Linked DNA regions of Oryctolagus cuniculus. The protein of the gene in region 2 binds, or shares a complex with, the protein of the main gene of each other region. Links are inferred from orthologs where the notes say so. Each region holds a gene or a part of one and is shown on either strand. Other genes may lie near its edges.

The links. The genes of interacting proteins can lie anywhere in the genome.
Region 1: VPS8 (region 2) and TGFBRAP1 share a complex: the UniProt entries of both Homo sapiens proteins name them as parts of the putative class C core vacuole/endosome tethering (CORVET) complex. The link is inferred for Oryctolagus cuniculus from reciprocal best matches to the Homo sapiens genes VPS8 and TGFBRAP1.

What each region holds. Positions count from the first base shown.
Region 1 is NC_091433.1:103,288,255-103,293,026, forward strand, and holds part of TGFBRAP1 (transforming growth factor-beta receptor-associated protein 1), read left to right. Parts: intron 1-2,107; 5' UTR 2,108-2,121; coding exon 2,122-2,809; intron 2,810-4,772. UniProt on the Homo sapiens protein: Plays a role in the TGF-beta/activin signaling pathway. It associates with inactive heteromeric TGF-beta and activin receptor complexes, mainly through the type II receptor, and is released upon activation of signaling.
Region 2 is NC_091435.1:94,613,603-94,618,374, forward strand, and holds part of VPS8 (vacuolar protein sorting-associated protein 8 homolog), read left to right. Parts: intron 1-2,750; coding exon 2,751-2,916; intron 2,917-4,772. UniProt on the Homo sapiens protein: Plays a role in vesicle-mediated protein trafficking of the endocytic membrane transport pathway.

The DNA.
Region 1 (4,772 bases), on a different chromosome or scaffold from region 2:
ATTTGAAAGTCAGAGTTACAGAGAGGCAGAGGCAGAGAGAGAGAAAGAGAGAGAGAGAGGTCTTCCATCCGCTGGTTCACTCCCCAAATGGCCCCAACGGCCGGAGCTACACTGATCCGAAGCCAGGAGCCAGGAGCTTCTTCCAGGTCTCCCACGCGGGTGCAGGGGCCCAAGGACTTGGGTCATCTTCTGCTTTCCTAGGCCATAGCAGGGAGCTGGATTGGAGCAGCAGGGACTCGAACCAGTGCCCATATGGGATGCCAGCACTGCAGGCAGTGGCTTTACCTGCTACGTCACAGCACCAGCCCCCTAAAAATTATTGTTTAATTATTACAGCAGATCCTTTATTTAAAGGCCTCTACAAGGAAACTTAACCTTCAGCCAGCCAAGTAACTGTAGTTACAGTACTACATTGCTTTTCAAATATTACCGACTTACGGGTTTTTCACAAAGCACATGCTTTTCTCATGACTCCTCCTCCCCTGTCTCCCCCCATCTCACCATGTGGATTCTTTACCCAATATTCTTTGTTGCTGTTTAGTTTCTCTCTTGTGCTAAGCAAAGACAGTGGCTAGAATTTTGGTTGTGGAGGTCTGAAGCTTGTCTATTTCTACCATGAATTCATATTCCAAATGGGAGAATGGCTGTGTCCTGGCTTTTTCAAGGACTGCCATGACTGATTAAGCAATGAAGGATCAAGTTTTTTTTTTTTTTTTAAAGATTTGTTTGTTTATTTGAAAGGCAGAGTTACACACACACAGAGAGAGAAACAGAGCGAGAGGTCGTCCATCTGCTGGTTCACTCCTCAAATGGCCACAATGGCCAGAGCTGAGATGATCCAAAGCCAGGAGCTGGGAGCTTCTTCCAGATCTCCCACGCAGGTGCAGGGGCCCAAGCACTTGGGCCATTTTCCACTGCTTTCCCAGGCCATAAGCAGAGAGCTGGATGGAAAGTGGAGCAGCCAGGACACGAACTGGTACCCCTATGGGATGCTGGCCCCGCAGGCAGAGGCTTAGCCTGCTACGCCACAGTGCCGACCCCAAGTTGTTCTGACACCTATGAGAGGACAAGTGACGACGAGAGTCATTCCTCCCCTTTCTCCTGCCTGAATCTTTCTGGAGTGCCTCTGAGGTCCCCTAGCATTTGCCAGGCCGCCTCAGAGGATTAAGGAGTTGAGAGTCTCTCCGGAGGCAGCCTCATTCCCTCTGGGGCAGCTTGAAGTGCTGGAGAAAACTTTTCTGATGCAAACCCAGCCTGCTTCTCCCAGGCTTCCACCAGGCTTGGCAGCGTGGCCTAGAGCTCCCCAGGCCCCTGTGCCCCTGTGCGGGCTGTCAGGGGCTGCGCCTCTGAGCCTGCAACCCGACAAAGGCAGAAGGGCCACCCTGCTGCCTGTTCTGCTGTAGAACTGGGACCCCTTGCAAAGGAAGAAGCAGACAGCCAAGGGTCCAGCTTGTGGCACAGTGTCCCCCTTCTGCTGGAGGTCATCTGATTGCTACCAGGGACCTGCCCACAAAGCCGCTCACTTGCTACCTAAAGACACGGGAGACTGAGACACACCTGTATGACTTGACATGAGCGTGCTTACCTGGGGAGTGGAATACGGAGCTGGGGCCAGTGCGCATGCCTTCCTGGGAAGAACACAGAGGAATTCGAGGCCTCATCCTGCCTCTGTGTTTGCCAGCAGGATCCTGTGGCTGTGTCCCACCATTCGCTCAATGCAACTACAAGTAGCTGTACAAGTTCAAGGGGAAGATGGATGAGGCTCGAGCCTGCCTTTTCTGAGAGCTTTTTGTCAGGTTGCCTGGGGGTGCCTACATGTGCTTGTCCCCGGGGTGCATACATGTGCTTGTCCTGTACCCACAGGAGTGGCTCCAGGAGCAATGGGAGGCGGCTCTGCGTGAGTCTAGGCTGTGTTGGGAGTGAGCCTGCTGGCGCCAATCAGAAGCACCTGCGCACACGGGGGAGGTGGCAAGGAAAAATTTGCCTTCTGAATCGGTGCAGAATGATGTTTCATTGGCAATGGGGACTGGAGGAGCTGGGTGTCCTGATGCTTCTGCTTCCGCCTTCTCCCCGCTAACGTGAATTCTCCCCCCGTCTCTTCCTGCAGAGAGCCCGGCAGGCATGATGAGCATCAAGGCCTTCACCCTGGTGTCTGCCGTGCAGCGCGAGCTGCTGATGGGCGACAAGGAGCACATCCACATCGCGTGCGTCGAGTGCTGCGGCAAAAACCTGTACGTGGGCACCAACGACTGCCTCATTTACCACTTCCTGCTGGAGGAGAGGGCGCTGCCCGCCGGGCCGGCCACGTTCACCGCCACCAAGCAGCTGCACAGACACCTGGGCTTCAAGAAGCCCGTGAACGAGCTGCGGGCAGCCTCGGCCCTCAACAGGCTGCTGGTGCTGTGCGACAGCTGCATCACCCTGGTGCACATGCTGAGCCTGGAGCCCGTGCCCTCGGGGGCCCGCATCAAGGGGGCCGTGAGCTTCGCCCTGAACGAGAACCCCGTGAGCGGGGACCCGTTCTGCGTGGAAGTGTGCATCATCTCCGTGAAACGCCGAACCATCCAGGTGTTCCTGGTGTACGAGGACCGGGTGCAGATCGTCAAGGAGGTGTCGACCCCAGAGCAGCCCCTTGCCGTGGCTGTGGATGGCCACTTCCTGTGCCTGGCCCTCACCACGCAGTACATCATCCTGAACTACAGCACGGGGGCCTCCCAGGACCTGTTTCCCTACTGCAGCGAGGAGAAGCGGCCCATTGTCAAGAGGATAGGGACACAGGAGTTCCTGCTGGCGGGCCCGGGAGGGCTGGGTGAGGACATTGCCTTAGAGCCGCTGCCCCGCCCCCTCCCTCCTGGGTGGGGGGGTGGGGGGGTGTCCCAGGGGTGAGGCTTTAGCTGTGAAAAGGTGTCGCTCCCCCTCTTCGTGGAGGAACGACACAGGACCCTGCGCTGTTCTTTCGTCTGCTCGGCCCTCCCCGGGTTTGCTGCTGGTTCTTCCCGGGTTGGCTACTATCCCTTCCACCTCCGTGGAAGGGCAGTTCCCCCTGGCCGCATTCCCCACTTCCGCAGGGGAGCGGCACACCGCCGGCCGGCTTTCTCGGGGGCTGCACGGGTTCCCTTAGATGTTCCCCATAGATGTTCCCGGTGCATGCCGTCTCTCTCCTCCTTTATAGTCCTCCTCCGCCAATCCCAACTCGGCTGAGTACGCTGCTCTCCAATCAGGAGCAAGTCCTACAGTTAATTGGTTGAACTGGAGGCAGCTGTGCGGAAGCTGTTTACTTCTCTCCCAGCGCCATATTGTGGGAGAGCAGATGCATAGAATGAGTCTTAATTCGAGTAACAGTCTAGTCCGGTTTGCTCCCCACAGATCCCCCTTTCTTTTTATTTTTTAGCGTTGATACGCGCCTGTCTTCGGTGTCCCGCGGCACACACTCTGCTGTACTTGCTAGAGTTGCCACAGGCTCTTACAAGTCCTATCAATCAGGAAAACCGAATCCGGGTCCTCTCTTCGCCATTGTGAGGAGGTTTTTAGGCGCTGATGCGTGCCTGTGTTCGGTGCCCTGCAGCGCATGCTCTGGTCGAGCCTGCAGGGGCTTACAAGCTCTATCAGGCAAACCGAATCCAAGCCTTCTAATTGGCATGTTGAGGGGAGGCCTTATTTTTCTCTATTTCTCTATCTCCGGGCATTCCTACCTCTCCCATTTCACTTCTATCTTCCAGCATTCCCATTTCTCTTTTACTTCACTTCCAAACTTCTGTTTCTCTTATCCCTACGGCTTTCCGGCACCTCGCCCCGCCGGCGGGTTCCCGGCTCTGCGCCGCTTCAGCCCGCGCGCCTCTCTGCGCGGCTTCCCGGCTTTGCGCGGTCCGCGGTCTCCACGCTTAACCCTTTCGCGTCTGAACCACGGCCTACGCCAGCGTTCCCTATCTATTCACGCCCCGTGCTCTCTCTGCACGCGGCGGCTTCCGCGAGTAACACAGCGTAGCTTGCGTCTCCGCCACTAGGATTCAATCTAAGTTCCCCGGGCTAGCCTGGCGAATTCAACCCAGCGTACGTCTCCGCCCCACGATCTGGCTTCCCGTCCTTTGCTCCCCGGGCTAATCAGACGGATCCCAATCTGGCTTACGTCTCAGCTTCTGGTTTTAACTTTTCGCCCCCTATTCCCGGGCTAACTTGAGAATCCCAAAGTGGCTTTCGTTTCCGCCTTGGCCTGCCCCCCGCGGCTTCAATTTCCCTAACATTTTTCTCTACCCGGTATGTTTCCCTAAGTTTTCTTCCAACAATATTCCTCCCTCATTTCTCCTGGCCTCTCCCCACAGTCCGCGTCCGAGTCTGTTTGTTCTAGCTTTCACTTTCGCTTTCGACCTTAGAGATTTCTCCCAGCTTCCCCCCGTAGTCCGTATCCGAGTCTATGCCTAGGCTTTCAATAGCTTCTTCCGGCTCCTTTTTCGTCCGGCTTTTCCCTAGGCTATTTGCTAGTCTCTCTCTCCGGTATTTTCCCAGTTCTTCCCGTTTCTTCCCTCCTAAGTTTTTTATCCGTCCTAGGTTTCCTATCCGAGTCACGGCACCATTATGTCGCTCCCCCTCTTCGTGGAGGAGCAACACAGGACCCTGCGCTGTTCTTTCGTCTGCTCGGCCCTCCCCGGGTTTGCTGCTGGTTCTTCCCGGGTTGGCTACTATCCCTTCCACCTCCGTGGAAGGGCAGTTCCCCCTGGCCGCATTCCCCACTTCCGCAGGGGAGCGGCACACCGCCGGCCGGCTTTCTCGGGGGC
Region 2 (4,772 bases):
TTATTTTTCTTTTTTAAGATTTATTTATTTATTTGAAGGTCAGAGTTATACACAGAGAGAGAAGGAAAGGCAGAGAGAGAGGGAAAGAGAGAGGTCTTCGATACGCTAGTTCATTCCCTAATTGGCTGTAACGGCTGGAGCTGCGCTGATCTGAAGCCAGGAGCCAGGAGCTTCTTCCAGGTCTCCCAACCTGGAAGGATTTGGGCCATCTTCTACTGCTTTTCCAGGCCATAGCAGAGAGCTGGATCAGAAGTGGAGCAGCCAGGACTCGAACCAGTACCCATATGAGATGCTGGCACTGCAGGTGGCAGCTTTACTCGCTACACCACAGCGCCAGCCCCCATGGTTCACTATTTAAGAGACATTTGGACAGAGACTAACAGGAAGTGGCTGTGCAGTCTGAGGGGCTAGGCCCAGGCGGAGCATCAGGACCAGGAGGCAGGAGCATCCCTGGCATCCTAAAGGAGTAATGAGTGAGTTGGCTAGTGACCCTAGCAGACGCAGGAGAAGGAAAGTGTTGAAAGAAGACTTCAGGCCGGCGCCGTGGCTCAACGGGCTAATCCTCCGCCTAGCGGCGCCAGCACACCGGGTTCTAGTCCCGGTCGGGGTGCCAGATTCTGTCCCGGTTGCCCCTCTTCCAGGCCAGCTCTCTGCTGTGGCCAGGGAGTGCAGTGGAGGATGGCCCAAGTGCTTGGGCCCTGCACCCCATGGGAGACCAGGAGGAAGCACCTGACTCCTGCCTTCAGATCAGCGCAGTGCGCCGGCCGCGGCAACCACTGGAGGGTGAACCAACGGCAAAGGAAGACCTTTCTTTCTCTCTGTCTCTCTCACTGTCCACTCTGCCTGTCAAAAAAGAAAGAAGACTTCAGAGGAGGAGCACAGGCCAAATTATGTAGGAGCTGGATTGGATCATTATAAAAAGTTTATCTTTTACTCAGAGATGAGAAGGCATTGGGTGATTCTGAGGTTAAGGATGGCATGATATGACTTGTATCTGAGGATCACTTTTTTTTTTAAAGTTTTATTTGTTTGTTTATTTGAAAGTCAGAGTTGGAGAGAGAAGCCTTCCATCTGCTGGTTCACTCCCCAAATGGCCACAATGGCGAGATTGGGTGAGGCCGAAGCCAGGAGCTTCTTCCAGATCTCCCACATGGGTGCAGGGGCCCAAGGACTTGGGCCATCTTCTACTGCTTTCCCAAGCACATGAGCAGGGAGCTGGATTGGAAGTGGGGCAACCAGGACTCAAACTGGCACCCATATGTCTGTACCCGCTACATCATGGTGCTGGCCCCTTAAGGATCACTCTTATGGCCATGTAGTGAAGGGATATAGGGGGTCACAGAGAAAGCAGAGCAGCTAGCTAGGCTGTGGCAGGAGCCATGTGAGAGGTGGCGTGGGGGACAGTAAAGAAGGGAGAAGCAGGAGTCTGGATATATTATAAAGGTGGAGCTGCTAGGATTTGATAATAGATTAGGTGTGGGGTATGAAAGAAAGAATGGTCAGTTTTAGTCTGAAACACCAGAAGGATATAATTGCCATTACTAAGTTGTAGAACTTTGAATGAGAACATGGGGTGGGGTGGAAGCCAGACCTCTAGGACTGGACATGTTATGTTTAAAACACCTGTTAGATACCTCAAGTAGAGAGATGGGGGTTCAGGAGAGGTCTGTGCTGAAGCGGTTAATGTGGTGATTAGGAGCAATGGGAGATAATTTAGAGCTATGGAGCTAGAAGTAATCTCTAAAGGAGCAAGGCCAGTTATAGAAAAGAGTATGGGAAAAAACAGGTTACATATGTGGGGGACAGAAAGAGGAGAGCAAGATTATAAAGACTATGGGACTAGAAAGAAAGAAGAATTAACTTCTGAGATAGTCCAACTTTCAGGTTGGAAAATGAAGGTGACTGAGAGTAATCTCAGCTCTCAATTTTTGGAAGCCTCATTTGTTAATTCTTTTTAAGAATTTACTGTATAGCAGTGACATTTTTGTAAGTGTTTAAGCCAATCATAACTGTTGCCTTGAATTTATGAGGCAGATCACTCATGTCATTATCAAGCTACTTACATAATTATGACTTTTCCCGATTGCCTTTTTTTCAAGCTATCTAAAAATACTGTCAAAATTTCATAGTTTGAGAAATGAACAGAAGTTCAACTCATCCTCCAGGTGGTTTGTAACTAGGGAACTGTGATTTTGTTCCTACTCACAAGTTAAATATACAAACATGTGAGTCGAGATTTTTTTTAAAGATTTATTTATTTGAAAGGCAAAGTTACAGAGAGAGAGGGAGAGATATGGAGAGACACAAAGAGGGAGAGAGAGATCTTCCATCCACTGGTTCATTCCCCAAGTGGCCATTAACAGCCAGGGCTGGGCTAGGCTGAAGCTGGAAGCTTTTTCCTGGACTCCCACACGGATGCAGGGACCCAAGTACGTGGGCCATCTTCTGCTGCTTTCCCAAGCACATTAGCAGGGAGCTGGATGGAAAGTGGAGCAGCCAGAACTTGCCCATATGGGATGCCAGCACTGCAGGCAGCAGCTTAACCCATGCAGGACAGTGGTGGCTCCTGAGTCTGGATTTTTATAAGGAGAGGACCACAAGAAGTACCTTTCCTTTCTTGTTTCCTACAACCCTCAGTGCACTGCAGCTTATTGGAAATCTTTATTGCTTGTAAATACTCTGTATAATAACTTAACATTTATGGTTTTTATTATAATGAAAAGTGAAAATTGATTGCCTTCATTTTGCAGCTGTGGCCATTTGTATCACTCATTCTGTCTACAAAACAAAGAATGCACCATAGAAGTTGAAGGCCAAACAAGATGGACATGTTACAAATGCAGCTCAAGTAACAAAGTAGGAAAACTAAGTGAAAATTCGTCTGAAGTTAAAAAGGGAAGGATAACCCCATCACAGGTAAGACTTTTGTTAATGGCAAGATGCAGGTGGTTGTTTCTTGCTAGTCTTTTAGGTGTGGTCTCATTTTCTTCAGGTCCTGTAGGCTCCAGCAAGTTTACCTGATGAGTACTGAGTGCATGACATCTTTTTAGTCTGTCTTAGTGTTTGAAAAGACTCTCCTCTCTGCCTAGCACTGAACAACATGGCTTTGAGGGCAACAGGAGATGTTTTCTGCCTTTGAGAAGCCTGAGATCCAGCTGAACGGAGAAGTTGTACACAAGTCTCCTTGTAAGAACATTTGGCTGGGGCCAGTGCTATGGCACAGCAGGTTAAGCCACAGCCTGCACCACCAGCATCCCATATGGGTGTCAGTTTGAGTCCACTGCTTCATTACCGGTCCAGCTCCTTGCTGGTGGGCCTGGGAGAGCAGCAGCAGACAGCTCTGGTTCTTAGGCTCCTGCACCCACTTGGGAGACCTGGAGAAAGCTCAGGGCTCTTGGCTTTGGCCTGGCCCAGCCACAGTTGCTGGGACCATTTAAGGAGTGAGCCAATGGTTGGGGGACTCTCTCCCTCTCCCCCTCTGTCTCTGTCTCTCCTTGTCTCACTCTGTGGCTCTGCTTTCAGATAAATAAATGTCTTTTTTTAAAAAAAGAATGTTTATCTAATGAGGAACTACCTGTACACTAAAGAGTACAGAATTAGCACTTTAATGTAGGGCTGATACAAGTGCATAAACATGTGCTTGTGCATGGTTTTCTCAGCCAGGTAACTGTCTTCAAAGTACGTAATGCAGTAGTGTTCATTTGAGTAGTTTTTATTGCTTTTGGAGTATAATAGACTAGATTAAAAAAAAAAGCCTTAGGGTTTTTGTTTGTTTGTTTGTTTGACAGGCAGAGTGGACAGTGAGAGAGAGAGACAGAGAGAAAGGTCTTCCTTTGCCGTTGGTTCATCCTCCAACGGCCGCCGCGGCCGGCGCACTGCAGCCGGCGCACCGTGCTGATCCGGAGGCAGGAGCCAGGTGCTTCTCCTGGTTTCCCATGGGGTACAGGGCCCAAGCACTTGGGCCATCCTCCACTGCCTTCCCGGGCCATAGCAGAGAGCTGGCCTGGAAGAGGGGCAACCGGGACAGAATCCGGTGCCCCGACCGGGACTAGAACCCGGTGTGCCAGCGCCGCAAGGTGGAGGATTAGCCTAGTGAGCCGTGGTGCCGGCCTGTTTGTTTTTTTTTTTTTTTTTTTTACAGATCACACTTATTTGACAGAGTGGATATGCTATTATTGTTTTTTAATGTTTACTATTATTTATTTTCATGTACTTGAAAGAGGAGAGAGAGTCTTCCATCTACAGATTCACTCCCTCAAATGCCTGTAACAACCAGGGCTAGGTCAGGGTGAAACCAAGAGCCCAGAACTCAATCTGGGTCTCCCACATGGGTGGCAGGGATCCAAGCACTGGACCCATTATCTGCTGTCTCCTAGGTGCAGTAGTAGGAATACTGGATCAGAAGCAGAGTAGCTGGAACTTGAACTGGATTCTGATATGGGATGCAAGTGTCACAAGCAATGGCTTAACCCAGTGTGCCACAATACCCACCCCCAACCTTGGTTTTTAAGCAGGCAGTAGAGCAGAGTTTGAACTCTACTGCTTGGTAGCTTTTGCAAGAGCAGAACTTGACAGCACAAGGTGTTCAGTGTAGAGAAGAAGTTCAGTGTGAAGAAGACAAGTCACAGCTGTGACTTAATCACTGTGCCATCCTCTAGGGTGCTCCTCCTCTGAAGTGGTTCCACACTTGCTGCTGCATGTCCTTCCTCTGTGGCACCGTGTGCTGTAGTCAGCCTTGGCGTCACATACTGAAAAGCTAGACTTGTCACTTT